Arabidopsis thaliana: one gene and its partners. The protein of the gene in region 3 purifies or fractionates together with the protein of the main gene of each other region. This does not show direct contact. Each region holds a gene or a part of one and is shown on either strand. Other genes may lie near its edges.

Region 1 (8,994 bases), on a different chromosome or scaffold from region 3:
GTCTTGTTTGCGACCACGATAAAGGAGAACATTGCTTATGGGAAAGAAGACGCGACTGATCAAGAGATTCGAACTGCGATTGAGCTCGCTAATGCGGCTAAATTCATTGATAAACTCCCACAGGTACCTTCAAATTTCAATACAGAAACTACTATTAGAAGAATTTGTATTCGTTGCATTTTCTTTTAAAATGAAATTATCTGTTTGTAGGGTTTGGATACAATGGTAGGAGAGCACGGGACACAAATGTCTGGCGGGCAGAAACAGAGACTAGCAATCGCTAGGGCGATTTTGAAAAACCCTAAAATATTGCTTTTAGATGAAGCAACAAGCGCCTTAGACGCAGAATCCGAACGGATTGTTCAAGATGCGCTCGTGAACTTAATGTCAAACCGGACTACCGTTGTGGTCGCTCACCGGTTGACCACAATAAGAACTGCAGACGTAATCGCTGTTGTCCACCAAGGAAAAATTGTCGAGAAAGGTATAAAGTTACCGTGTGCTCAAAGTTACATATTTCGAGAACGATATTATGAACTATAAGTCTATAACTGTATAAGCAATCAATTGTAAATATTCTACAGGAACTCACGATGAGATGATTCAAGATCCCGAGGGAGCTTATTCACAGCTTGTTCGTCTTCAAGAAGGATCAAAAGAAGAAGCTACCGAATCAGAGAGACCTGAAACAAGCTTAGACGTCGAGAGGTCAGGAAGTCTTAGGCTATCATCTGCGATGAGAAGATCCGTTAGCCGGAATTCATCGAGCAGCCGCCATTCTTTCTCTCTCGCTTCCAATATGTTCTTTCCGGGAGTTAACGTCAACCAAACCGACGAGATGGAAGACGAGGAAAACAACGTGAGGCACAAGAAAGTGTCATTAAAACGACTTGCTCACCTTAACAAACCGGAAATTCCGGTTTTGGTACTCGGTTCAATTGCTGCAATGGTTCATGGAACGGTGTTTCCCATCTTCGGTTTATTGCTTTCCAGCTCAATCAATATGTTCTATGAACCAGCAAAGATACTGAAGAAAGATTCACATTTTTGGGCGCTGATTTATATCGCTCTCGGTTTAACCAATTTCGTCATGATCCCGGTCCAAAACTATTTCTTTGGAATCGCTGGAGGGAAATTGATTAAACGCATCCGATCAATGTGTTTTGATAAAGTGGTTCATCAAGAAATCAGTTGGTTCGATGACACAGCCAATTCCAGGTACTATAACTTTATATATATAATTAACCGCCGTATTTTGTATGTTTTGATTCTAATATTTATTTGCGTTTTGTTACCCCCGGTGCGATTGGAGCGAGAATGTTCCACGGATGCTTCAACAGTGAGGAGTTTGGTAGGAGATGCATTGGCGTTAATAGTACAAAACATAGCTACTGTAACCACTGGGTTGATAATAGCGTTTACAGCGAATTGGATCCTAGCTCTCATAGTTCTTGCTCTCTCACCATTTATTGTCATCCAAGGATATGCTCAAACCAAGTTCTTGACTGGTTTCAGCGCTGATGCTAAGGTTTTAATATAGTGGTTACAACATTTTTTTGAATATATCCCGGTTTAGTCGCGATTTCGGGTTTACTGATCGATTTTTTTTCTGGTTTAGGCGATGTATGAAGAAGCGAGTCAAGTGGCGAATGATGCAGTGAGCAGCATAAGAACGGTTGCATCTTTCTGTGCAGAGGAGAAAGTGATGGATTTATACCAACAAAAATGCGATGGACCGAAGAAGAACGGTGTCCGGTTAGGTCTTTTGAGCGGTGCTGGTTTCGGTTTCTCATTCTTTTTCCTCTATTGCATCAATTGTGTATGTTTCGTCAGTGGTGCCGGGTTGATTCAAATTGGTAAAGCCACATTTGGTGAAGTCTTCAAGGTAAGATGAGAAACATTTCTCGGTTTAATTAAGATCTGGTTCGGTTTAGTGATCTTGAGAGTGTATTTTTTACAGGTTTTCTTTGCATTGACGATTATGGCGATTGGAGTTTCTCAAACGAGTGCTATGGCACCTGATTCAAACAAAGCTAAAGACTCTGCAGCTTCGATTTTCGATATTCTCGATAGTACACCGAAGATTGATTCTAGCTCTGATGAAGGTACAACGTTACAAAACGTTAATGGTGATATCGAATTCCGACATGTTAGTTTCCGATACCCAATGCGACCGGACGTTCAGATTTTCAGAGATTTGTGCTTGACTATCCCTTCTGGAAAGGTAAAAAACAGAGCTTTTTAATTACCGGTTAAATCTGGTTCACCGGTTAATATTGGTTATTGGTTGTTTTTTCAGACCGTTGCACTTGTTGGAGAGAGCGGGAGCGGGAAATCAACGGTGATAAGCATGATTGAGAGGTTTTATAATCCAGATTCAGGCAAGATTTTGATCGATCAGGTGGAGATTCAGACATTTAAATTGAGTTGGTTAAGGCAACAGATGGGTTTGGTTAGTCAAGAACCGATTTTGTTCAACGAGACGATCAGATCAAACATAGCTTATGGTAAAACCGGTGGAGCCACAGAGGAAGAGATTATAGCAGCAGCAAAAGCCGCAAACGCACATAACTTCATCAGCTCATTGCCTCAGGGTTACGATACGTCGGTTGGAGAACGCGGTGTTCAGCTATCGGGCGGTCAGAAACAGAGGATTGCGATTGCGCGCGCGATTTTGAAAGATCCTAAGATTTTGTTGCTTGATGAAGCGACGAGTGCATTGGACGCAGAATCTGAGCGTGTTGTTCAGGATGCACTTGATCGAGTTATGGTTAATCGAACCACTGTAGTTGTGGCTCATCGGCTTACGACGATTAAGAACGCAGACGTGATCGCGGTTGTGAAAAACGGAGTTATTGCTGAGAAAGGAAGGCATGAGACACTGATGAAGATTTCAGGTGGTGCTTATGCTTCTCTTGTCACTCTGCACATGAGTGCAAATTAAGAGACTTTTTGTTTTTGGTTGGAATGAAAGAGAGAATTTTTGGAATTGATTCGTTAATTTTGTCCATTGGAACTCATAAATTTGAGACAAACAGATCCTTTTACTTCGAGCTTTAAAAGCCTCGTACCACACTAATTGAATTCTTTGGGTTTGCTTTCTAACAAAGTGCGTTCCAAATGTTAGAAACGTTTCATTTGTTCCTTTTCTTGTTATCTTCATTAAGAACACTCTTCAATAAGAAGAATCAATAAAACATTTTTTGGAGGTAAACTCTATTTTGGATCAACAAATATGAACAAGAGTAGTAGTTTGTTGGGGACAGGACATAACTGAAACAAAGTTTTCAGACACAAATGTAAGAAAAAATGAAATCTTTGAAGAAGAGACTCAGTAAACTTCAGCAGCAAAGTTGGTAGTGGGAAGTCTCTGTCGCTTCTCAATGTAAGCCATAGGAAACCAACCAGCTTTGCCTTTGCATTCTCCTTCAGCCCAACCGGTTTGGCTCACCTGAGAATACGAAAGAAAAACAGCACACAGAGAGTTAAGTTTCATGCTCTCTCACTACAGAAGTTAGTTCTTTGATACTAGTAAGAAGATGTGAACCTTTCGGACAACGATGTAATCTCCTTTGTCCAAGTCTAACTCTTTCTCTGAAGCAGCGGAAAATGGATGAATCACCTGCGAGAGAACATATATGTTGCTTATGGAGAGTCTTTTTCTTTCTGTGAGATATGCGATGATAATATTACGGAAGATAAAACTTACTTCAGCAAGAAAGTATGACGTTTTCTCTGAGCCGTTCTCTGTTGGAATCGCAGGAGGAGCAGATTCTTTGTGTTGTTTCTCGGTTACCATCTACGCGGTAAGACCAAAAGTGTGAGCCTTTGATGAGAAAAAGATGTGGGAAAGATTCATCCAATACTAACCTCGGCTTCAATGTCACTGAGGATGGCTGCTATTCTTAAGTGATAATTCTTCTCCCCTTCAACCTAGAATAAGCGATAAGGTAAATAGTAATCTGCATATGACAAAAAAATCCAGTGTGTGTGTATGTAAAACATACCATAGCCACAAGCCTCTGGAAAGTGAGTCTATGTTGCTGTGATTCAACAGCGGCTAATGCAGCAGTTGCTTCTTTACCAAGGACTGCCATATTTGCTTTTAGCTCTTGCATTTTTGCTTCCGCTAGTTGAAGCTTTGCTACGTTTTCTGGAATCGGAGCTTCTCTTACACGTGCTTGCCGTCTAGAGACTTCCGTTGCCTGTTTTGCTTTTAAGTTTTAACTTACATTACAAAATAAAATAGCCAACATCATCATAGAACTAAGATCTTAAGATGATTACATGTGTCTCTGCTTCTTGTCTCATGCGGCTGTAACGTTGAGCAAGATGACGAGCATCTTCAAGAGGAGAACCGGCAACCATAGCTCTTAGAGGATCCAAAACCTTAACGGCATTTAACAAAAAGGTTTTCTCTTGTTATCTACTAGATTTAATTCTACGTAAACATACTAAGATTAAACACAGATAATCCAAGCCGAACCTGAGAAGCCAAAAGCTTGTTGAAGTCTTCTTGTTCTTTGTCTACATGTTTCCGTGCATCACCGTATATAGCTGCAGCCTTGGCCAGTATATTCTCATCAATGTTCTGACTATTTTCGTTCCCATACCTACAACAGTCTTCAGACAACTTGGTTCCTGAAATTTTAAAGAATATTAAAAGAAAACTCACAAAAGTATCATAGTATAACTTAATTCAATGATAGGTAACACAAAACAGACACTCATAAGTAGTTAAGTACCTGCTTCAATGTGTCTGAGCCCGATCGTGGTAAATGCCTCAGCTGCTTTAACAATATCTCTCTGGAACTCCTGAAAGTGACAATAACATATGTTTGAGGGTATTGTGCTACGATGAATCATACTGAAACCTTCTCCCCCAACAATGAACTCATATAAAATGTGACAATGCCATTAGGTCAATATCAGTCAAACCTTTGCAGAACGAGTAGAGCGGTAAAGTTTATCGAGTTGATGATGCCTTTGCATTTCAAGCTCATCAATCACCATTACATCTGAGCTTTCATAACCAGTCCCACTGAATTGCTTTATCACAGCCTACATTCCCCATTACCACACATCAATCAACACATCATCACAACCAAGATTGTGTAACTCTATAATACTCAATAATATACAAATCAAAACCCATCAAAAAGTTTCCATTTTTTTTAATCCAAATTAGCAACAAAGAACCTAAATTGAGCTTCGTTTCGCTGAATCGGTAACAGTGAAACTAGTTGCGGCGATGAAAAGGAATTACCAGTTGCTGCTTTGCGACTTGGTCTCTAAGCTTACTCGCTTGTCTTCTAAACGCATCCATTGTCACTTCTCCTCTTGATTTCCCCAAATTGATTCAGAGATACCAAAAAGAGACAAGCTTTAAAGGATTTTGAGTGGAATTGAGAAATCTCAATTAGATCAGAACAGTTTAAAAACTGACAAAGCAGATCAGATCTGATTCAGTAGAAATGTATGTTCTTCTTCGACTCGATGTGTCACTGATTATCCCTCTGAGAAAATCAGTCAATCACAGAGCACACACATCGATCTAAGCGGGTCGGGTCGATTCGATTGATTGAACCAAACCGGTCCGGTCCGGTCTGATTAAAAGGAGCGTTCGCGATTGAATTATTTGGAAGCAGACGAGGCTTTTCTACTAAAAACCTTACGTTACGACTTACGATTATTATTGAGTAATTAATTAAAATTAGCTAAATCCGTTTGGCATAAACTGAGATTAAGTTAATTAAAACTTAAAAGTATAGGTATTAACAAAAAAACTGACATGGACAACTCATAACCACTTGTTATTTGTCCCCACTCCTCCCATATCATTTTGTCCTAACTGCCATTACATAATTATAATCTGAAAAGACAACCTATATACTTTTTCTTTTATTTTATTATTAACGTTGCCTTTCTCAGTATAGTATAGATTCCTACTCTACCGACTTAAAATTTCAGTGAGATATTTCATTAAATTCCATGTTCTTAAAACAGGGTTCTATTGTTGATGTAAACTTAAATCAAATTATAGTCAACCAAAAGACAAATGTATATTGGTATCTAAAGTACTGAATGACAACATTTTTTTGTTTTAATTTATCTATAACACAATCAAGTTGTAAAGATGATTTTGTTTGAACAAACTTTACAAAAATAATCTCTATCCATTATACTATTTCGTTAATAGCTAAATTAGTAAACCAAACGCGGAAAATAAACGAAACAAACGCGGAAACAAAATTACAAGAAGATCAATTAGTGATTTTACAGTTAAAAAAAAGCAATAAAACTCAGAAACCCTTTCACATGTATGTATAAGAAGAATCTAAAACTTTCCCACTTCCACCAATTTGAGTTTTGAAACATTTACGGCTCGACAGAAAAGAAGACGCCATTATATTTTAACAGAGAGAAATCAAAGAGACAAAAGCCACGATCCGCCATAGCTGTTTTTGAGATCGATCCCCACCAAAGGAGCCTAGCCTAAATCATGCCTTCAGGTGCTAAGAAAAGGAAAGCTGCCAAGAAAAAGCAAGAGGAAGAACAACAACAACAAGGATCTTCTACTCTAATCAACCTCAAATCCAACAACCATGGTTTTTAATTCTTTTAACACCCCATAATCTCACTACTACTTTCTTCTTTTTGCCTTTTTCTTCTTGTTGTTGTCTCTCTGTATCTCTCAATTATTCACTCACACCACACACGTTTAGGCCACCTTTCTTGTTTGTTTATATATTTGCTTCGCTTTAAATCTGAGTTTTTTTTTAACTTTGTTCTCTGTATAGTTTCTTCAAGTTTTGATTTTTATGGTTTTGTGCTCATTGATCTAAACAAATGGGTATCTTTTTTACTCTTCTTTGTGTTTTGATTGGGGTTTTAGGCTCACAATTTTGGGATCTCAAGCTGTAAAAATTTGATCTTTCGGTTAATTTTAGCATGTTCTGCTTCGTAATCCATATGGGTTGAATCTAGTTTTCTGTTTTGGACTAAAGGATAGTTTTGTTTATCAGATTCATGATTATGATTGAAGTTGTTTATCATTTGCTGAGTTTTGTTTATCTCTGATGCTTTGGTTTCATTAGTAGTAGCTGTGCCTATTTTGTTTACTAGTATATGTTTCATTCTCTGGATGGTACAATAGTTAGATTTGACTTGAATAGTCAGTGTTAAGTCACTCTGTTTGTGATATTGATTGGATTTGTAAACTGATGTGCTAGATTCGAGAAGCCAAGGTGACAAGGAGAGCGATGATGGTGTTAATGAACGCATAGAGATCACTGATTCAAGCCATGATCATGACAAGAGCTCTAGTAGCAGCAGTAGTAGTAGCAGCAGCAGCAGCAGCTCCAGCTCGGATGATGAGTCACGGGAAGTCAAGAAGATAGATGATGATAAGAAGACTGGTGATGATGTTTCTGAAGTTATTACTGTGAGTTCTGTGCCAATTCAACCTGTGCCTATTGCTGCAGATGCTCCGTTTATGGGATTTACTGCTAATGCGATTGTAGAGAATACTGGTTTGATGGATTCAGCTGTGCCGAATGATCCCGAATCTGGAGAACTGGTTGAGATCTCGCATGTTGATACAATAGTCTCAAACGAGGCTGATGATAATTCTTTGCCTAAAGCAACTGAGATTGCTGCTGAAGTTGCTCTTGCATTTGATGAGATTAGGCAGACGTCTTCAGGTGCTACTGACTCTGATGTGAAAGAAAATGAGGGAAAAACTTCGCCTCTTCCAGAATCCAACGGTGTTCCTGAAGGCAACATAGAGTCTAATGTTGTCATTTCTCATGAGGAAGAGGTCTTTATTGTTTACCTATTTGGTTCATCTTTTATGTTGCTCATGTTACCTAAAAGACTAACATCAGTTTTCTCTCAGGCTCCCATCTTGATACCAACACATGGAATTGCGAAAAGAACCTCATGGTTTAGTTGCTGCGGCTTGTTTGATGTGGTCACAGGATCCAGTAGATAAACTCAGGTAACTTCTCTGTTTTATGTGAAAACATCGTCGGATGCATAATCTCTCTTTTTGTTTCATGAGTCTATTATCTATATGTGATTCTTAGTTCATGGACAACAACCATACATGGAAGCATTTCCTTCATTATTTCTGTAGCAAGAGTCTATAAACATCAATGGTACTGTCAATTTAGCTGCGAGTAAAATAGCCTCCTGCATTGCTGTCTGAAAACTCACATGTCTTGAGTCACTGATGAGTTATATTTTCTATGTAATAGCAGAAACAGTGTGTTGCCTACAAATTGGAAGCTGCAGAAGTGTTATAGCGGCGAAGAATTATCGGTTTCCTCTCTCGATCACCTGTGAAAATTCAGTAACTTGATGAATGAATGTCTCTCAAATCACAAATTTTCTCAAATGATAGAGTACTCATCTTCTAGTAATATTCAGAACAGATATGCTTACAATTTCTGCTCTTTATATATGTCCTTACCAAGTTCTTTTTAGTTTTTCATTCTGTCATTCGTTTTGATATGTACCATTTTCTTGTCTGTTATTGTTTCGTTCTCTCAGCTTATGAGACTTTGAGACTGTTTAATATAGATATTTGCTTCATACATGACCGGTATTTTAAAATTAATATATCTATATATGCCACAAATTGGATTCGTGTTAGTAACACGGTGTTACACACGGTTTCCACATTTCTTGCAGATACAGTTGATGGATACAATATGCGAAAATTCTTAGCATTCGTATGAAGCGTGTGTAAGAACCTACATTGTTTTTATTTCTAGAGAACAAAAAACTTTACACAAAATTTACCAATCAAAGTCTACAAAAAAATCTCTGGTCCAAGAACAGTAGAAATCCAGAATCATGCTTCTAATCATTCACAGCTCCTGTAATGCCTCTGCTTGAAACAGAGACTGCCATATCTCTAGTAAGTAAGATCCAATCACTGATCTCCCAAATCTGTTATCAGCAATGACCCTATTCATGAGCTTTATTCTT
Region 2 (8,697 bases), on a different chromosome or scaffold from region 3:
AATCATGATGACAGAATCATGAAGACAGAAGACTAAAGTAAACAAAGTTTCTTTTAACCATCTTACAGTTTTCAACGATTTAGATATTATCTTGGAACAGGGACGAGTACTTACAATTTGTTGGAAAAAATAGAATAATAGCTTATGGTAAAATCAAAAGAAAATAAAAAATAAGAAACAAAAACTAAAAGATAGATACTTAGTAATTGTATCTTTTTTTGACAACCATTTTAATGTTAAGACACTTCAGAATAAAGAAGCTAAAGTAAGGAAGAACTCATTTAGAAATTTAAGAAACTATTTTTTTGAAGTAAACCAAAACAGGTTAGAGAGAGTAGAGATTATATATAAGTGATCTCTATATATAATTAATCAAAAATTCAAAATCAAGTAGTTCTGTATATGAAGACGGTCTCGAGATCTGGTGGCGAAAAGAACTCTCTAGGGCCGTAGCTAACCTTCAATGTCAGTTTCCGTTTCTTAGGCGCCGGAGGACACGGAATTACCGTCGGTATTCTAACGGAATCCGCTGTTGGAGTCGTTGGACAGAGATCTTCGTCTTCCGTGTTGGATACGGCAGAGGAAGAGAGGCTAATCGGCTTCACCGTAGAATGTAAGGAGATTCCGGTGATGACGCATTTCTTCCCTTCGGTAGTTTCGCTAAATTTTCTGTCAAACTGGTGGTAAGTCTTGCCGGAAAATCCCATAAGTTATCGTATGAAGTTAAGAGAGAAACAAGAATTTTTTTTGATGTAAATGAAGGAAATGGAGAATGAAAGAGTAAAAGATTAGGTTGTTGTTAAAGTAAGACTTGTTTGGAACGAGAGAGAATGTGAAGAGAATGAAACATGTGATTCAGAGAAGGGGATTGGTCTTATAGTCAACAGTGACTTCAAGACAATCGATCGTTCGATGTCGATTCAGTTCAGTTATTTTTTCCACGAATTTTTTTTTTCGAAAATTCGTATCTTAGTATTTATTTCCTTGGTTACATTAAAAGAACGTAACGAAGAGATAGTGACATTGAGTGTACATTGTATCTTTTATTAAATGTGAGAGAATATCCTTTTTTGTTTCTTTTCTCAAGCATAAAGAATGTAATCATGGTATTTAAAGCATATGTTTAATGTGAAAGAAATACAGTATTATGTACCCTAAATGGAACAACTTATTTTGATATACGTTCTTAAGTTATTTTTTGATACATAATTTAGTGGTGATGCCAATAGTTTTTGTTTTAGTCATACAAACTGAAAGGTGCTATAGTTTTTAAAGGGTGGTGCAAAAGATATCGATCGTAGTCAACTAAAAAGTGCCCTAACTAATGATTACGATAATCCGTTTTATATTGGTCGAAGTTAGGTGATTAAAATATGGTTTCTCTACAAGTATTTTGTTTGGACACTGCAAATAAAACCTTCATGCACATAAATTCTGGAACCATCTTCATTTTTTTCATAATTAATCTCTATCATATATAGTAGTATAGACCCCGAAGTAACTTAAATACCAATTATGTATTATAAATACGGATTGATAACATTTCATATCGAAACATTTCATACATTTTATATCTGTAATGTTACAACCAGTCTAAAGCCAAGGATTCTAGAAACTAGAAACAAATTTTACTAAAATTAATTGAGGGAAAACTCAAGAATGTGTGTGTGATCATTGAAGAAATGAAGAATGTGTGTTAGAGTGAGTGAATATTCAAAAGACTCAAATAGGTTTTTAATGAACAATAGGGAACCCGAGGAAACGCGTGACTCTAAGATATATGAATTTATTTTGCACTTATTACTTTTGATTAATTTTTATATTCTAACCCTTTTTTATATACTATTTTTTTCAGTGCAAGTAATGAATGAAGTAACGAGATGAGAGTCTAGTTTCAAAGTTTTGAATCTTTTTGGTCAATGTCGTCTCTATTTGTTGACCATATTATACGTTTGACTTTAACCCCATTTTTCTTTAATCTCATTCTTCTTCTTTGCTTCAATGGTTGACGAATTCTTACCGTAGAAGTTGCATCTAAATATACCAAAGATTAATACTGCGAAAATATGATAAAGAAGATTTTTTTTTTTTGTACTCTCTAGAAATTTGTAAACGATATTATTAGTGTTTGATTAAAGACTCCAATTTTTAACATAATGTCTATATCCACATAATGAATTTGTGTCTCTACTATATGTAGTGTTCCCGTCATATATGCATTTTTGCGATAGTCAATCGGATCTTTGTATTGCGGTTAATTGATCTGGTCTTTCTTGAGCGTACAAAATAAATAGAATTGTACGTATTATTAGAGATGGTTACATTTGGTTTACATTATTAGTTAAAGTTAACCAATAATGTAAACCAATAAAGTTAACCAATAATGTAAACCAAATGTAACTATCTCTAATACGTATGTTGACTATGATGTACTTCAAGACAAGTTCATCATCACTTAACGTAACTAACACTATATTAGTTAAGTTCAAGACTTATTGCCCATGATTCATTTGTAAACTATGAAGTAACATATCTCTGATTTTTTCCTCTTATGTTTGATAAATTAGTCATTATAATTAGTGTCTTGCCAAAAAGTACACTTCTATCTTATTAGCATTCTACATTACAAACTATTAATTTCACTACGTATAGCGGTATAGGGAGAAGATCAATAAGGCGATCACAATATTAGTTAAGTTCCGAGTCTTGCATTACCATTGTCCTATGAATCACAGAACAAGAGGACGCATATATATATAGTATTTATAAAAGACTAAGATAGTCACAGAACAAGAGGACGCATATATAATTGACAAATACTCAAAACATGTGAAAAGATAAGGGCTATTACGTCTTCATTAAGATCCCATAATCTTTATGATGAGAACTTAAGAGCCAAACTAGCTATGTAACAAAATATCAAGTTTGAAAGTAATAAACTGCTTGAATAAGCTTCAAGTTCACTACATGGTTTAGAAAGGTTTAAAATCTATTACTTTCAAACGCTTTTATTGTGTACCAATCAATCCAACAAAGTATGCAATCGTACTAATCAATCCAACAAAGTATACACTCACACCGGTAACATCAAAAATTCAAAAATTCAAAATTTCATGTTACCAATCAATCCAACAAAATATACAATCCCTGAGACCGAGTTATAATTTGTTGGAATGATTGGTACCAGTGAAATTGTGTTGTCGTGTGAACATCAACACATAGGAGGTAATATACGTAAATATGCTAGCAATCAAGCTAAGTATACAAAACACTTCATGTTGCAGTGTTCTATTGAAATTTTATATATCGAACTAGAATACTATCATGGAGAATGATCAAATGTTGCATATCTTCATATCCACGAAAAATGAGTACACAAACATTCGATCATACCCCATGACAGTTTTCTAGTTTATACTTGATAGTCCTCACGATTTCATGGTGGTGACACTACACAAACCCTAGATTCCCCTAAAGTTTTTGTGAAAAACGCATATGTTCGATTTTAGGTTTTACTTCTATCCTTGATTCATTACAAACCTATTTTTATACTAATTCGTCGTTAACCTAATAATTTTAACCTACGAAACCCAACCTATATGGGCCTGACTTTATGTAATGATCCAATGGGCCTTTCTTCTTCAATGATGACTTTCTTCATTGACTCTCCTTCTACTTTCGATGGTATTAAATTTGACGGAAAAAGTAAAACGATACCGTCTGGGTGAAAGGCAGAGCTCTTTGCTTCTGAATATTATTATTTTCTTAAATTCTTCCGTTTTTTTTTTTAATCCAACCACAAGGATCGATAACGAAATCATCAGATCGCCAGAAAAAAAAAAAAAATTGCGAAATGGAGAATCTGAGCTGCAGATCTGCGTCAATCTCCATCTAGATGTTGTTGCTACTTCTTCCTCTATAGAACCATAATTTCATCAGATCTCGCTGATTAATCATCCCCATTTGGATCTGATCGAAACTCTTAGGGAAGAACATGGCAGGAGCTGCCTCCGCGCTGTTTCTGCTTGATATCAAGGGACGCGTTCTCGTCTGGCGTGATTATCGTGGCGATGTCTCCGCTGCTCAAGCCGAGCGATTCTTCACTAAGCTCATCGAGAAAGAGGTTGTTCTGATCTTCCTCTTATCGCTAATTGGTCTTTGTTTATTGCTTGGTTACTGTAGAATTTTCAGAGAAACATAGAGTTAGCGAACGAACTTGTAGATTTGTGTTTGAAAGATTCGTCAATTGGAATTGAAACATTTCGAAGATAATGGATTCGTGTCCATTTTCATCTGCACTGGAAATGAATTTTGAAGATAATGGATTCGTATCAGTCTTTGTGATCTGATGCCGCTGAAATTTTTTGGAAGTAATGAACAAGTTTGATCATTGGTTAAATGTTTTGGATTAGAATTTGATTTGAATCTGTACTTTTGAAGCATTCTGGTTTAAATCAGAGTAATCATCGTTTTGTTTAATTGTTCAGGGTGATTCACAGTCAAATGATCCAGTTGCTTACGATAATGGGGTGACTTATATGTTTGTACAACATAGTAATGTATACTTGATGATAGCATCCAGGCAGAATTGTAATGCTGCCAGTCTTCTCTTCTTTCTTCACCGCGTTGTCGATGTAAGTATGGCTGGTCAATTCTTTAGTTTTTCTCTTAAGGTTCCATCTTTTTCCTGGATATTTGATGTAATGGCAATGGTATCTGTTATCTGGTTATAGGTTTTCAAGCATTACTTCGAGGAGTTAGAAGAGGAATCATTGAGGGATAACTTTGTGGTAGTGGTATGTTAAGCTTCTGTCATCGCTCTTTTAGTACTATTTCGCAATATATTTTTCTATTACTTGGGCAATCAAAAAGATCCTTAAAATTTTGGAAAAGTATTTGTCATTGTTAGATGCTGAAATTGATTTTTTGGTGCTGGCAGTATGAGCTACTTGACGAGATGATGGACTTTGGTTACCCTCAGTATACCGAAGCAAGAATTCTCAGTGAATTCATCAAGACTGATGCATATAGAATGGAAGTTACACAGAGACCTCCAATGGCTGTGACGAATGCTGTCTCCTGGAGGAGTGAGGGAATACAGTACAAGAAGAATGAAGTGAGTGCCATTGTTTTCGCAAGATAGGAATATGTTTCTGATGTTTCGGTTTGCAAATAATGACAACCTGCTTCTTTTTCCAGGTTTTCTTGGATGTTATTGAGAATGTAAATATTCTTGTCAACAGTAATGGGCAAATTGTCAGGTCTGATGTTGTTGGAGCGCTGAAGATGCGAACTTACTTGACGTATGTCAACACATCAAATTTACGATATAGTTCCTAATCAGCCAAAGCATGTTAAATCACGTCCCTTTTTGACTATTTTGCTCTTTGATCCATTCTATTGCAGTGGAATGCCAGAGTGTAAGTTAGGACTGAATGATAGAGTATTGCTGGAAGCGCAGGGACGAGCAACTAAGGGAAAAGCCATTGATTTGGAGGACATCAAATTTCATCAGTACGTCTTTAAGTTTTTATTATATTGAAACTTGGAAAGTCTTCACTGATCTTAACCCTTCTATTTTCTTTTTGTTCAAAAAGATTATATACTTGAGTTTTATGTATTCTCTTCTTCAACAACCATTTATTTAATGCAGGTGTGTTCGATTGGCCCGTTTTGAAAACGATAGGACGATATCTTTCATACCACCTGATGGGGCTTTTGATCTGATGACATATAGACTCAGCACTCAGGTTTGACATGTGGGATATAGCATCTACTGGAATTGTTCCACGTCTTCAACAAGTAAATATCATGATTTGTTTCTTTTATGTTCAGGTAAAGCCACTTATATGGGTGGAAGCACAAATAGAAAGTCATTCAAGAAGTCGTGTTGAGATGCTCATAAAAGCTAGAAGTCAGTTCAAGGAACGAAGGTAAATATATTCTATGGTATTTGTGCCACTTTCCTTTTCTGTCTTACTGTCATGCAAAGATCCTGATTGATCAGATTCTTTAAACCTTTGATCACGAACATTCTTTTTGTAGCACCGCAACGAACGTTGAGATTGAGTTGCCTGTACCAACCGATGCATCTAACCCCACCGTTAGGACATCTCTAGGGTCTGCCTCTTATGCTCCTGAAAAAGATGCGTTAGTCTGGAAAATCAAATCTTTCCCGGGGAACAAGGTATAACACTAACAAGGTTCAATAAACTCTTAAATTCAGTTGAAACAGTCAGCAATGTAGACTATGTAGTATCAATGCTAACCTTCAGAAAACCAATATAGGAGTACATGTTAAGGGCAGAGTTCCATCTTCCAAGTATCACTGCAGAGGAAGCAACTCCTGAGCGAAAGGCTCCTATCCGTGTCAAATTTGAGATCCCTTATTTCACTGTTTCAGGGATTCAGGTAAGCTTGTGCTTAATAATAAATGGTTACTGTCTCTTCCACAATGTCATATATATAATATATATGTTCTTTGGTGTGTAGGTTCGGTACCTAAAGATTATTGAGAAGAGTGGGTACCAAGCACTTCCATGGGTGAGATACATAACCATGGCTGGTGAGTACGAACTAAGACTCGTGTAATGCACATTTAGTTTCATCGTCTATGTCAATTGTGATTCCCACATCCCTCAAGGAATTGCCTGAATCAAAGAAGCAAAACGAAACAGGACAAAAGTAGAGGGAAAAGAAAACGTTTTGAAACATTTTAGCTGATCAAATTTTCCTTTAATTTGTTTTAGAAGCCATATTCTTGTGAATTTGTCTTTATGGTGATTCTATTTTATTTTACATGAGGCTCTCTGTAACCTTTCACGACATGGTTCATTATTTTCCTTTAGACTGCTACATTTCTGTCTATGTGTTCGTTCTGCGATCAAAATTGTTAAACGTTGAGGTTTTGGTTTTGTTTTTTGGGGCATTCGTCTATGTTTACATAGGTTTCTCTCGAGTTATGATCAAAATGAAACTACATAAACAAATTATGCTTCAATAGAGTGAGGTGAGAGAGCCTTACAATAGAGAGAACGTATATTTTGGTGTTTCTCATATTGTTTAACTGATATAGTATGGGCCGAAATGAAATAATCGTCAGGCCCATTAAAAAGCCCATAATCACCATACTTTCTCCTCCAATTCTGTTTCGAGCTTGGGAAGTGACAGTGAATTAGGGTTTTACTCAAAAAACCTTCTCGTTGTCGTTGTTTACTGCTCCGACGAGAAAATGGCGATGCGACATTTGAGCCGATCGAGAGACGTTACAAAGAGATCGACAAAGAAGTACATCGAAGAACCTCTGTACAATCGCCTCTTCAAAGATGGTGGTACAGAGGTCAAAGTTCGACAGCAGCTTAATCAGTTCCTCAAAGGCACTAAACACGTCTTCAAATGGGAGGTCGGCGATACGATCAAGAAACTCCGAAATCGCGGCCTCTATTACCCAGCTCTCAAGGTTTCATAAATCCAAATTGCATTTTCGATTCTCTAGGATTAGCTTCACAATAAGCATTTGCTTCAAATCTGTTGAATACATATAGAAATGTAGATTCTTAAGTGGTATTTTGATGCTCATTATGAACAATTTAGTAATTGTTGAATAATTTTTTCACTGTGTGATGATTGTGTCTTTAGATTTCATATTGTGGAGTTGTTTTTTTGGTTTGTAGCTATCTGAAGTTATGGAAGAGAGAGGTATGAACAAGACAGTGAGTGATCAAGCAATCCATCTTGATCTTGTTGCTAAAGCTCGTGAAATTACTGCTGGGGAGAATTATTTTGTTGATCTTCCGGAAACATCTAAGACGGAACTCACGTATGGGTCTCTTTTGAACTGTTACTGCAAGGAGTTGTTGACAGAGAAAGCGGAAGGTTTGCTGAATAAGATGAAAGAGCTCAACATTACTCCTAGTTCCATGTCTTATAACAGCCTCATGACTCTTTACACCAAGACAGGTGAGACTGAGAAAGTTCCGGCGATGATTCAAGAATTGAAGGCGGAGAATGTGATGCCGGATTCGTACACTTATAATGTCTGGATGAGGGCTTTGGCTGCTACTAATGATATTTCTGGTGTTGAGAGAGTCATTGAAGAGATGAATAGAGATGGTAGAGTTGCTCCGGATTGGACTACGTATAGCAATATGGCATCGATATATGTTGATGCTGGACTGTCTCAGAAAGCTGAGAAGGCTCTTCAGGAACTGGAGATGAAAAACACGCAACGGGATTTTACGGCATATCAGTTTCTTATTACTTTGTATGGACGTCTGGGGAAGCTGACTGAAGTTTACAGAATTTGGCGTTCGTTGAGGCTGGCTATTCCGAAAACCTCAAATGTAGCTTATCTAAACATGATACAAGTGCTGGTCAAGTTGAATGATTTACCTGGTGCAGAGACATTGTTCAAGGAATGGCAAGCTAACTGTTCTACTTATGACATCAGGATTGTGAATGTGTTGATTGGAGCTTATGCTCAAGAGGGTCTAATCCAGAAAGCAAATGAGCTCAAGGAGAAAGCTCCCAGAAGAGGTGGAAAGCTCAATGCTAAAACATGGGAGATCTTCATGGATTACTATGTAAAGAGCGGTGATATGGCTCGAGCACTCGAATGCATGTCAAAGGCAGTCTCCATCGGCAAAGGAGATGGTGGCAAGTGGCTACCGTCACCTGAAACAGTCAGAGCTTTGATGA
Region 3 (7,740 bases):
TGCAACTGTGACTGTATCCTCCATGACAAGTGAACCCTGAAATGTAGATAAAAATAACAAAATATCTAACTTCAATGGTATAAATAGAGAAAAAGAAATTGCTTGCAATAGAAATGTATTTAGAAGTAAGATAGATATAGGGAGCCTGAGGTGGACATACTCTTATTTGGATTTATGTATGATATATAAATTTAAGTGTGATATATTCATGTGTGACATACATATGGAATAGTTGGACATATTAAACAATGCGTCAATTTTCTGGACACTACTGAGACTAATGTGTCCATTTGATGTAAAAAACACAATATCACATAAAGCAAGAGTACAGCTCACTAGACAAAGTAAAAGAAGATGGCTAATCCTATATACGAATTACTGTAATTGAATTGAAAGCAACTAATGTGTCTGAACGCATTTGTTTTAGATAAAACCTCGGCAAAATGCAGATGGTAGTCGCCCAGCTGCTTATCGGCCCAACTCCGTATAGGTGACAAGAAGGACTCCAGGAAGGATATCTCTTCATTATCAACCCTACACTTCAAGGTTTTCAAGTGTAAACGCTCTTGAGGCCCTCGTTGTTCTTTTAGTGGGATCTTCTTCAGCTGCTGAATAGCATGTCGCAGAAGTCCTCGTTCACTAGTAATGACATACTGCAACCACACAACACACTCATAAGCTACCGTAAAACTTCCCAGCTGAAGCATCAATATCGTTACAATAAAGAAAATATCTAATCCATCATTACCTGTCGAAACAAAACCCAAGCATAGCATGTGTAATGGATGGTCTCTGTAATTCCGAGAACACGCCATGTTGACTTCAAAAGCTCAAGAATTTCTTCAACTTCCTAAAATAAAATAACAAAGGTTACTTTATGAACATTTCATAGTAACAGAAACAATAAACTGTAAGGCAACTTGTCAAGAATTTCTTTCTGGTAATGTATATGGGAATTATAATATGATGGAAAAACAAAACAGAGGAATCTAAGCAGCTCAAAGAGTGTCAGCTGATAAAAAGAACAAAAACCTTTCAAATCAATATGATTTTTAAATGACCAAGAATATTGCTTCTGGAAAATGTATTCAATAAAATTTTGACAGAATTCACAGACCTCTGTGAGCTTCCCATCATTCAATATGTCAAAGACACAGAGAAGCAATTTTTCATATAGTCTGACATTCAAATGATAGCCATCAGCCCAATGGCAGACTTCACCCGTCAAATCACCACGAGCCGGTCTCTCAGCAAGTGAGATAGCAACTTCTCTAAGAGATTTTAAACATTCTGCTCTTTGCACTTCTCCAGCTGAGGATGGAAGAGACTATAAATAGAAAGGAAAGTAAAAGAGAAGTCAAAAAACATATCATGAAATCACTAAATGTAAGAAAATTCAGTTATTATGGGATAAAAGCCAATAGAGACAACTGCCAGAAAAAAAAGACGCTAAGCCATTTTTTTCCACAAAGAATAACCCATCTTAACCTTTGGATGATATTATGCCACACCCTTAAAGAAAAGACCTAAAAATACCCACTTCCGATATCTGATGTCTACACAATATAATAGATCACATAAACATAATAAGGTGGAAAAAATACCTCTGATTCTTCAATCCTTAGCAGAAGACTCTTCAGGTCAGTTGCCTTACGACCTGATTCTCCAAATCCAACAACTGGATTGTTAATGAGCCCCTCTGCTAACATGTTTAACTGAAATACCAAAACATTAATAGATGATAGGACCAAATACTAAAAGAAAGTACTCAATATTACACTCAGATGTGAAAAGGTGGTCTTTACCTGCCTTTTCTGCCAGCGTAAGTATGCTTTCTTGTCAGAGAACTCGGTACGAGACACGCAACATAGCAATTCTAAAGGCACCAGGAGGCTGTCCATTCTTTTGCCAACTTTTCCCGCTAGGGCATTAAGCAACCCTTGTCTTGTTCTGATGTCCATGGCCTCAGAAATCTGTATGAGCCGAAAATATTAATTGTCGTATACAGAACAAACACATAAAGTAGGCTAACTGAGAATCATATGGTAGTGCAGGCAACAGCGCCAAAAACATAATACAATACATTGACATATGGAAAGAGTAAACTGACAAACGAAGCGAAAAATGTCCAAGCGCATACTAAAAAATCAATGAAGCAGAGACATTTGGCATACAAAAATGAGGGCATCTTAACATGGTAATTACATAAGAACAACTTTACAAGAAAAGATAGAGTAGTAAATATGTAATTCCATGCTCTGACAAACCATATATGCCTCAACAACAGAGATAAAAAAGTAACAGTAAGAGAGAAAGAGAGAGGGAGTGACCTCCATTTGGCCCCGCATCATTTCTAAAAGAGAAACCAATCCTGATGAGCTCTGAGATTGAGAAACACTCTCACTTTTGCGACCAAGCTTCTTAATCAGCCTAGACCTGCTTTTCTCCTTCTTTTTCTCTTTTGATGGTACTATGAGACCTCTACATGATGAAAAAATACATGTTGAAAACATATGAAAGAGAAATTATATCAGTAAGGATGTGACTAATATTATAAGCACACCTCAACTGAACAAAGAAAGTAAAAAGTAAGCAAGACAATATTCTGTATACCCTGAAGCTCCAGCGCAAGCCAAAAGTATTTCAAATGCAGTTTCACGGAGATCATCATCGGTAATACCTGAAACAGAAATACATTGCAACTTTCTTAATAAATCAGCAGGGCCTTGACTTTTCATAGGTGTGGGTGTACTACTTATGGTCCAGTCGTAGTTAGCTCTGGCTACTGGATGGTATAAGCAATGATAATTTTACAAGTACTCCTTTAGTTTCTCGAACTAAAATGCCCTGTCCATAAATAATAAATTACCAAGTCTACAAATGCACGTATGATCTGAATAATTTTATGAGGTTATTCAATGGAATGACAGTAACAATAGTATTCCTTTATCAAATTTACTTCTTAAAGATATGCATTTTCCAAAAATATTACCAGTCGCAAAGGAGGGCAGTCTTGGCACAAGATCAGCAGCATCATTTGCAGTCCGCCTAGAGATCCTGAAATTACCAACTTCATCAAGATCATCATCGTCTTCAAAATCATCAATGTCATCAACAGTCAGCTCTTGAGCTTTTGGTGAATCAAAAGATTCTGATCGCATCAATGGTGGCGCAGATGGTGACTCACACCACTCGGGATTTGTAACCATGGGAGAAGATGAGGAAATTAATACAGGAATAGGCGGTGGGGCCCTTTTTGGAGGTGAGCCAGAAGATTCAGGAATTGTAGCCAAAAAGAATTCATCAGCAGTACCCACGCTGTTCTGAAATATACATAAGACTCAAGCATTTAGAAAATGACTTATATAAGTCGATGGAGAAGGAGTCCGTTATATGTTAATAGCAAAAGGTTTTCCAGAAATGAACAGGCATTATCCTAGAAACTGTTGCAAGCAACTCCTAGTAATGCTTAACAAAAGTTAGAAGTATCAATTAAGAAAGCAATATGTTACATGTACACACCATATAAGGCAATCCAATGTGATCATGATAGTCCCGAATCGCTTCAGCGAGTTCGAGCATTCCACCTAAATTGAAACAATACACACTATTAATCTGAAAGAAAAAAAACAGAACGATCACGAAAACAAAAGAAGAAAGAAGCTAGTAGTACCTTTCTTAGCACAGTTAATGACATAATCAACACTAACTTGATCTAAATCAACATCGTCAAGAGTCACAGCACCAGGAGGCATTATAACTTTCTTGATTAAGCTACCAGCCAACATAAAATCCAATAGCTTCCGCCTATCCCGGCGATATCTCTGAAGAATCTCGACAGCATTTTCTCTATACACGCAAGAAAATACAACAGCACATCGATCAAAATGCAATAGCAATAAAACGAAGAAGATTGTACAGTAGCCCAAAAACAAAATCAAAAGAAGAAGAAGAAAGAAACATACTCTTCCATCTCGATCCAGCTGCAATAATAGTCACACGGATTCTCAGATTTCCAATTGACCTGTGAAATCAAAAGCCACGAATCAGTAAATCAAATCGAATCAAGTCTACTTCAAGTACGAGAACTAGAGACTACATTTGAATGCAGATTTAGTTTTAGAAGTAGAGTTTAACTGAACTAACCAATCATTTTATCAGATTCCTCGCAAACACCGGAATTATCCAAAGGAAGGATTGATTTAGTGAGAATTTAGAGACGACTGAATACGAATATGATCTGGTAAATGTAGATGAATGAACTGTTTTGGAGAACTTCGAGCAGAAATTTCGAGGTGGTGATGAGCAAATCTAGAGAATGCGCCGGGGCCGAAAGATCTATCTGTATATTATTATTTGGGAAAAACAAAATGAAGCTGATTTGTCTCAACTTTAATTTACTCTATCTCCCTAATTTTCTTTCTTTGACTTCTTTTGTTATTCCAGAACACCGAATTTGTCAAAATTGAAGTCTCAACTTCATTCATAGTGAAGAAAATATACTATGGGAGTATAATATTAATTTTCATTACTGATTTTAAGTAATTAGATAATTATTTAGCTTTTTAGTATTCCTAAATCTTATTTCTTAATGAAGATTTGAATTAATTTGGAAATCTTAAAAAGATTAATGTTATTCAATTATCACTGATTTTAATATTACAAGTTGAAATTCCTATGCTTTTCACTAATGATATGAATATTGGGCCCTCATGGGCCACCTTCTTCCTAAACTTATCTTCTTTACTTCTTTCACAAGCCTTGTATACAAGGGCAATTGCCTCCACATGAATAAACAAGAAACCTCACAAGAACTTCTATGTTTTTTTGACATGGTATCAGATTAGCCAACACATCTTTCCACATTGTTTATGTTTTCGAATTTTGGACCGAACTGGATATAAACATAGATTTTGTCAAGCCCATATGATTTTTTGTCAGGCCCACTATATCATATATTAACCTTACGAAGTAACAAGCAAAACTGGATTAACCACTTTACCTATAAGATCGTCGGCAGCTGGGTGGATTTTCAAAATACCTCCTATAAAGGACCTAAACCAATTTCCAGTTTTAAAAGTTTTGCTTAAGAGAGTGAGAGCCTGAGAGGAACATTATCCACTGCATCCCCATGAGACCATGGGTCCCACTCCACCGCAAAACAGTCTGTCACGTGTCATCACCTCCCTATACCTACAGGACACGTGTCTACACCAAATCGAGTGAACATGTGACGTGTCGTCACCAAACCTGAGCCGCTAACCACTGCCTGATCTGGAGGGTATATCCGTAACTTAAAATCCTTTTGTCGTCTACCCGTAAACAGACAACTTTTAAGAACTACAAAAACGTACAAGTTGGCCAGTTGTGTCTTGCAAGATTTAATTAATTTTAATTCAAGTGCCGACCTCACACAGAAAAAGATATGTTTAACACGTGGACCAATGAAAGAGTTGCTTTAGATGGAGGAGTAATCTAAGCCACAAATCTCGTTTGTGAATTCTAAGCCACTAACTAAAGTTCAAACTCACGCGCTCTCCACTTCCTCTCTTCAACTTGCTTCTTTGTCTTCTCTCTCTTTCCTCCTTCGCACTCACAAATCTACAGAAGATAGAAGAAGATAGACTCATAATCTTTTGGATTTGGATTTAGATCTGATCATAAAGGTGACTTCTTTTGATTATTTTATTCTTAAGAATTCAAATGTTTTTCTCCTGTTGGTTGCTGAATATAGTGAGTGACTTGTTAGCAGGTTAAAGTATCATTCATGGATCGTTATTCGAGGAGGAATTTAGAGGATCTTGTTGTGCCTAACTATCAAGAGACATCAGATTCGTACCCTTCTCCTGATATGTGGGGTACTGGATGGAGCATGAACTCTTCAGAAGCTGCTGAGAAATGTTTTGATTATGATGTGATTCACAATGGTTTCAGTGGAGGATTATACAGTCAGATGGAGATGGATATGGGAACTAGTGAACAAGTAGAAGAAGAAACTAAGAAGTTAAAGGCTAGTGGTTGTTTTGACCGTTCGCTTCATGATTTTGATGAAATCCAACACATGGATGACATGTTCTTGTAAGAAATTGTTTATATATCACATAAAAAAAAAAAAAAATCTATATAGTTTTTCGATGTTTATATTTTTGTGTCTCTCTCTTTTTGTTTCCGGTTTTGACTGAAGAAGTTCCATTTTGGAGGATGTTCCAGGGAATGAGAATTTTCTTTCTTTCAAGGAGTCGGATAATAACAACAGCTCCAGTTCCTCCTATCTCGACACAACTGATGGCAGGGAAGTCCCTTTGTTCCATTACAACTGGGAAACTTGTCAAGATATGCCACTTATGGTAAGAATCGACTCTTTTGATATACTAGCAATGTTAAATAGTAGAAAAGAGAAACTAAGTGATTGACAAATCTTGTTGAATTCAGTAGACTCTTGGGATTAGTCTGGTTTTGGATTTTGGTCTGAGATCTCTCGGTTATGTGTTTGACTATTGTTGTTCCAAGTGAGATAATAGTAAAGATGTTAATGATCTTGGAACATTCTTTTGGTTAAGGAGGAGGATGCACCTATGAATCTGTGTGAGGAGAACAAGGAGGAGGCATCTGCTGAAGAAGTTGTGTTGCAGGATCTACAAAGGGCTACAGAAATGGTGAGTGTGGTGATTTGATCTAGCCTATATAATCTTCTTTGAGATTTGATCTGTCTTGTAACAGACTTTTACATTCTTCTTCTTATAGTTGACTGATGATACCCGCAAGTGCTTCCGCGATACCTTTTACCGGCTTGCAAAGAACTCACAACAGAAGTCAGACTCCAACTCGGATGAGTTCCTTGAGGATAGAACCAGGTAAAGAGAGCTTTTTTCATTAATCATACTTTGCTTAAAAATGGACTCATCACCTTCAATAGTTCTAATGACTCATCACCATCTATGACGTTTTTGTCAGTAGGGAAACTGAATTTGAAACCAAACTCAATCGACAGAGCCGTGGCCAATCTCACATTCAACAAGATGGAATCCAACATGAGAAATATGCCTCCACCGAAGAGACTTTCTTCTGTTCAAGGATAAGAGAGTTTCATCATATTTGGTAATACCATATGTGTATATAATATATATGTGTGTGTGTATGTGTGCTTGGCTTGACTTTTTCCAAGCTTCAGTTTTGATCTGTTTCATTAGACTCTGACTCTGCTTCTGGATTTCCAATTTCTTATGCTATATGTTATTTACCGAGTGAACCTGTGAATGTACATTACCCCATGTAGAATCTGTTGTTTCAATGTATCAAAAAAGATATTCTTCAGACCTTTTGTTAATTTGTTGATAAGAGGAGACACAGAAACATATCTAAGTGGGAAACGACCTTGGGAAACAGCAAAGCAGAGGAATTAGTCTTATACCAGCAAACATAAACATCAAATACCAAAACAAACACAAGTCAATTTCAATATCACCCGACCATAAACTAGAACCGGCGAACTCAAATATAAATTATCTAAGAAGAAAGTCTCTGACTCACGTTTGCATATTAAATAGGGATATAATATGAACTCAAACGTGCGTTCCATTAGTTTCTAAAGATTGTATAAAGATTTGGTCTTTACTCTTAACAAACAAAACATTTCAGTCTGAGAAAACTCTTAACGTTTTTTTGTAATGGCAACACCACCGTTAACGCCAAGAATGATGACTCCAACAACAATGTCGCCTCTCGGGAGTCCAAAGTCGA
Region 4 (3,889 bases), on a different chromosome or scaffold from region 3:
CTAGCAATTTCCACAGACTTAACTATATCACCATAATGAGCCAATTCCTTTCTTTCTGCTATGTGTAGTAGTATTAGAAGAACCCTAAAAATCTGAGTGTATTAGTGTTATTAGCAATAGGCTCATTTTGTTCCATAAGTTACAAAATTGCTTAACATGTGTGACGATTTTGCAGGTGTACTATACATTCAAACCAATATACATGCTAGCGGAACCATTCATGCTTGTATCGGCTTTCTTCTTAGTATTTGTGGCTTCGCTTGCGTATGTACACATCGATCTCAATATCGTCAGGAAGTAGAAGTCTTATCAACAGTCCTTCGCTTTCACTTATAGACTCGTAAAAGAAAATACTTTTGATCATCACTTGAAGAACTAAACTTTGTAGGTGTTGCTGCTTTTAGTAGAGTTATATCTTTGACACTACTTTGCTCTCCAATCTTGATTTTTCCTCAATTTTATTTACAGAGAATCTAAAGTGTTTAATCCATCCAACAAGTGAAGTGGAAAAGAGCGAATTGCCAAATTATGTAATGAGGAAAATGTTTCAAAGTAAATCAAGATAACACAATTACACAACGGTAATAACAACAAATGCATAATAAAGTTTACACTAAGACAACAAACGCTGATCCTAAACTTCCTTGCCTTAAAAAAAACTTGCCTTTAAAATTTTGTCTCCATAATTTTAACAATCATGACCGGAGTTTGAAAAGAGATCACTAAACCGGATTCTTCTTCGGCCTTCCTCTTCCTCTCTTCTTCGGTGTTCCATCTGAATTAACTCCAACACCATTATTACTCCTCACAGCCTCATTATCTCTCTTCGCCGCACCACCTGACCATCCATCAAAACTAACACCATTACCACTTGGAGGAGCTGCAACGCCGCCGGATGAGAAAACCGGAGGCATCCAATTAGGGAACTTAGCTGCATCTACTCCATTAGCAATGGCAGCTTCTCCTCCTTTACCACCAACAAACCCCATCGGAAAAAAACCCCAACAACAATAATACTCATCTTTACCAGGTATCAACGGAGGCAACTGAGGAATACTCGCAGCGTGAAACGCTCTTTGACAGTTTTGACATCTAATACAATACTCTTGATAAACCCTAGGATACTCATGAAGACTGTAACAGTACGGACACGCCGTCCAAAACGTAGACATCTTCTCATTCGTTGTTGTTTTCTTCTTCGATTTCTGAGTGTTGAGATTTACTTTAGTGAAGATGAGATTCAAATCTCCATCGAATTGAGATTTCTTCGTAGGTGTTGATAGAACTTCCCATGCATCAAGCACGAATCTGAAAGCTTGATCGGCGAAAGGGAAACGGTTTTTGTCAGGGTGGAGAAGAAGAGCAAGACGACGGTATTGTTTCTTGATTAGATCGTTGTCTGTTGATGATTCAGTTAGATCTTCGATCTGAAGGATTTTGTACCAGTTTGGTTGGTTTTTGATACGATTCTCTGGTGCTGATGAGAGTAAGACATCGACGACGGCGAGGATTTGATCGGTGCCTTCGAGGAGTGGCTCTGTCTCTTGAGCTAAGATTGCAAACTCTTTTGAACCGTTTAGATCTCGTGACTCGAGAAGCTTCTCCGCGATTCCGAGAAGACGTTCTGCTTCTGATCGGTTAGGGTTGTTGTCTCCCATCTTTCTTCTTCCGTCGGCGATGGCGGAGAAATGGTGAGCAGATCTAAATATTATCGCCTCGACAAGAGACGATGAAACAAGGCTCTGATTGGCTGTGTGTAAAAATGGTCGGGGGAAAAAAAATAGTAACATTGGAGTAAACGGAAACTAAAACTTTATTTGTTACCAAATTTATTTAGTAATAAAATCATTTCTTCATTTTTATGTTATTATTTTTCACAATTTTATTTTATGTTATTATTTTTCACCCTTTTATAATGTTACCTACTTACAATTCGTTTCCTATTTCGCCATATTTATAATATTGCAAATAAAATCCAGCTTTGTGTCACCAGTTACAAAAATAATATGATTATATACTTTATTGGTTTTATTAACACTACATTAAAAAGGTAAATAAAAGGAAAAATTACTATAGTATATTGGAAATAAAGTCGGTATTTGACTCACTAGAGAGTTATAATTTATAAATGAGACATAATTATTGTTTATTCATCTTATTCAGACAACATAACTAAAAAATATATGGTCAAGATAATATTAAATGTTTTAAGAATGAAAATTTTCTAGAGCTAAGAATATCGGAAATAAAGTTAGACGTATTATGTTTAACAGAAAAAGAGGCAGAATTATGGCAGTTAGCTCAATTTGAGCTCAATACCAAAAATAACGGTTCCATGGGATCGAAAAAACAAATTCGGGTTCAGAATATATCACACGATAATATTTATTCTGGTTTGCGTTGTTTTGTGGACGGATCTTGGAAAGGAAGCGATAAGTTTTCTGGATTAGGGTGGTTTTGCAGATCATCAAATGGAGACTCGCCAACCATGGGAGCTGCTAATCTTCGTAGAAGTCTTTATCCACTCCATACAGAAGTCGAAGCACTACTTTGGTCGATGAAGTGTATGATTGGTGCCGACAACCAAGAAGTAGCATTTTTTACAGACTATTCAGACTTGGTGAAGATGGTGTCTTCTCCAACCGAATGACCAGCGTTTTCAACTTATTTGGAGGAACTAAAGACCGATATAAGGAGGAATTCACAAAGTTTTCTTTATCTTTAATTTCTCGAACTGCAAATGTAAAGGCGGACAAATTGGCACGAAAAATTCATATTGAACCGCTTCATGTCACTTTTATAAATAATTTTCCTCACAATTGGCTCTTTTGAGCTCTAAATAAAATCTGTTGACAAAAAAAAAAAAAAAATCAGAAATAAAGTTCATCTATGACTACCTACCAAAACAAAAGTTCATCTTTGATTCACTCACAAAATAATACAAATAAAACATGAAAATTATAAAAACATTTAATATTATCTCTTACCATAATTTATTTATTTGTTGTACATAGTACAAATAAAATGGAAATAATAATTATTTTTTATTTGTAACGTTTGCCGGCCGAATAAAATATTAAATTTATTTGCAATACTACTCACAACAAACTTTACAAATAAAACATGATTATCGTTTTTTCTTTTCGTTCATTCAAACTATAAACAAAAGCAATGAAAGCATGATAAGAAATGATATTAAATGTTTAAAAAATAAAATTTGATATAACTATATTATTGGAAACAAAGTCCATATTTAAGTCACCTATAAAAAAGCATGATATGAAATAATAATAAATGTTTAAAATAATAATATAATATCTAATGGTATTTGAAATAATGTATGTGTTTGAAGATGTTATAAAAATGTTAAAAATAAAAATATAATTATCAATATTGATAATAATATTCATATTGATATGAAGAAATGATATTATTTCCAACTACAATTTATTTACTTTTCAATGTGATGTGAATAAATAAAGAATAATCATGTTTTAGCTAATGTTTCAAAATAGAAAAATTAATATAACCAAATACTGTAACCTAAAATTGTAAAAAATACCACTCTAGTAAATACCAATATTACCCCGGTTAGCTGCTACTAACATTAAGGGTGAAGTTGTCATTTGATACAGTGATCACGCACTTTTCACTTGTCTTCTTTATTAGTTTTTTTTCCTTGTTTTTTAAAGACATCACTTGTGACCAAAAAACAAATCCACTAAGAAAGAAAAACAAATTAATAAAAAAAAAAGATCAGAAATTAGTTTGTGCAGAAATCGAATTGGAGAAACCGAGTAACTATGGTAGCCACAGATGAGTTCATCGTTTTTGACCAGATCTGATTGTTTTCGTCTTTGCCGTTGAAATAATCCTCCGCTCCTTCTTC

The links.
Region 1: the proteins of AT5G06970 (region 3) and AT4G18060 fractionate together in Arabidopsis thaliana (co-fractionation; one large-scale study listed by BioGRID). This does not show direct contact.
Region 2: the proteins of AT5G06970 (region 3) and HAP13 fractionate together in Arabidopsis thaliana (co-fractionation; one large-scale study listed by BioGRID). This does not show direct contact.
Region 4: the proteins of AT5G06970 (region 3) and AT2G01710 fractionate together in Arabidopsis thaliana (co-fractionation; one large-scale study listed by BioGRID). This does not show direct contact.

What each region holds. Positions count from the first base shown.
Region 1 is NC_003075.7:10,024,337-10,033,330, forward strand, and holds AT4G18060 (SH3 domain-containing protein), read right to left. Parts: upstream 5,698-8,994; 5' UTR 5,327-5,697; coding exon 5,267-5,326; intron 5,062-5,266; coding exon 4,939-5,061; intron 4,816-4,938; coding exon 4,746-4,815; intron 4,642-4,745; coding exon 4,487-4,641; intron 4,390-4,486; coding exon 4,288-4,389; intron 4,206-4,287; coding exon 4,008-4,205; intron 3,934-4,007; coding exon 3,871-3,933; intron 3,800-3,870; coding exon 3,710-3,799; intron 3,623-3,709; coding exon 3,548-3,622; intron 3,452-3,547; coding exon 3,332-3,451; 3' UTR 2,945-3,331; downstream 1-2,944. Other genes in the region: ABCB9 (P-glycoprotein 9), read left to right, coding at 1-123, 211-484, 585-1,218, 1,345-1,528, 1,619-1,885, 1,961-2,224, 2,300-2,944; AT4G18070 (suppressor), read left to right, coding at 6,503-6,608, 7,233-7,819, 7,898-7,993; AT4G18080 (uncharacterized protein), read right to left, coding at 8,874-8,994. UniProt on the Arabidopsis thaliana protein: May be involved in the recruitment of DRP2A to the accessory protein complex and in the negative regulation of its GTPase activity.
Region 2 is NC_003070.9:22,367,183-22,375,879, reverse strand, and holds HAP13 (Clathrin adaptor complexes medium subunit family protein), read left to right. Parts: upstream 1-3,656; 5' UTR 3,657-3,994; coding exon 3,995-4,123; intron 4,124-4,487; coding exon 4,488-4,634; intron 4,635-4,733; coding exon 4,734-4,796; intron 4,797-4,939; coding exon 4,940-5,116; intron 5,117-5,199; coding exon 5,200-5,303; intron 5,304-5,406; coding exon 5,407-5,514; intron 5,515-5,653; coding exon 5,654-5,750; intron 5,751-5,835; coding exon 5,836-5,933; intron 5,934-6,045; coding exon 6,046-6,187; intron 6,188-6,288; coding exon 6,289-6,411; intron 6,412-6,492; coding exon 6,493-6,591; 3' UTR 6,592-6,927; downstream 6,928-8,697. Other genes in the region: AT1G60783 (cyclin-dependent kinase inhibitor SMR2-like protein), read right to left, coding at 387-707; AT1G60770 (Tetratricopeptide repeat (TPR)-like superfamily protein), read left to right, coding at 7,232-7,459, 7,674-8,697. UniProt on the Arabidopsis thaliana protein: Subunit of clathrin-associated adaptor protein complex 1 that plays a role in protein sorting at the trans-Golgi network and early endosomes (TGN/EE).
Region 3 is NC_003076.8:2,162,032-2,169,771, forward strand, and holds the start of AT5G06970 (plant/protein (DUF810)), read right to left. Parts: upstream 4,481-7,740; 5' UTR 4,147-4,480; intron 4,025-4,146; 5' UTR 3,974-4,024; coding exon 3,966-3,973; intron 3,850-3,965; coding exon 3,674-3,849; intron 3,588-3,673; coding exon 3,523-3,587; intron 3,324-3,522; coding exon 2,993-3,323; intron 2,681-2,992; coding exon 2,614-2,680; intron 2,482-2,613; coding exon 2,331-2,481; intron 1,974-2,330; coding exon 1,806-1,973; intron 1,716-1,805; coding exon 1,605-1,715; intron 1,328-1,604; coding exon 1,118-1,327; intron 851-1,117; coding exon 749-850; intron 654-748; coding exon 435-653; intron 37-434; coding exon 1-36. Other genes in the region: AT5G06980 (uncharacterized protein), read left to right, coding at 5,768-6,078, 6,188-6,347, 6,561-6,656, 6,745-6,854, 6,917-7,079; AT5G06990 (MIZU-KUSSEI-like protein (Protein of unknown function, DUF617)), read left to right, coding at 7,668-7,740. UniProt on the Arabidopsis thaliana protein: Controls the tethering of the proton ATPase AHA1 to the plasma membrane. Is essential for stomatal opening in response to low concentration of carbon dioxide and light.
Region 4 is NC_003071.7:313,605-317,493, reverse strand, and holds AT2G01710 (Chaperone DnaJ-domain superfamily protein), read right to left. Parts: upstream 1,847-3,889; 5' UTR 1,791-1,846; coding exon 723-1,790; 3' UTR 501-722; downstream 1-500. Other genes in the region: AT2G01720 (Ribophorin I), read left to right, coding at 176-301.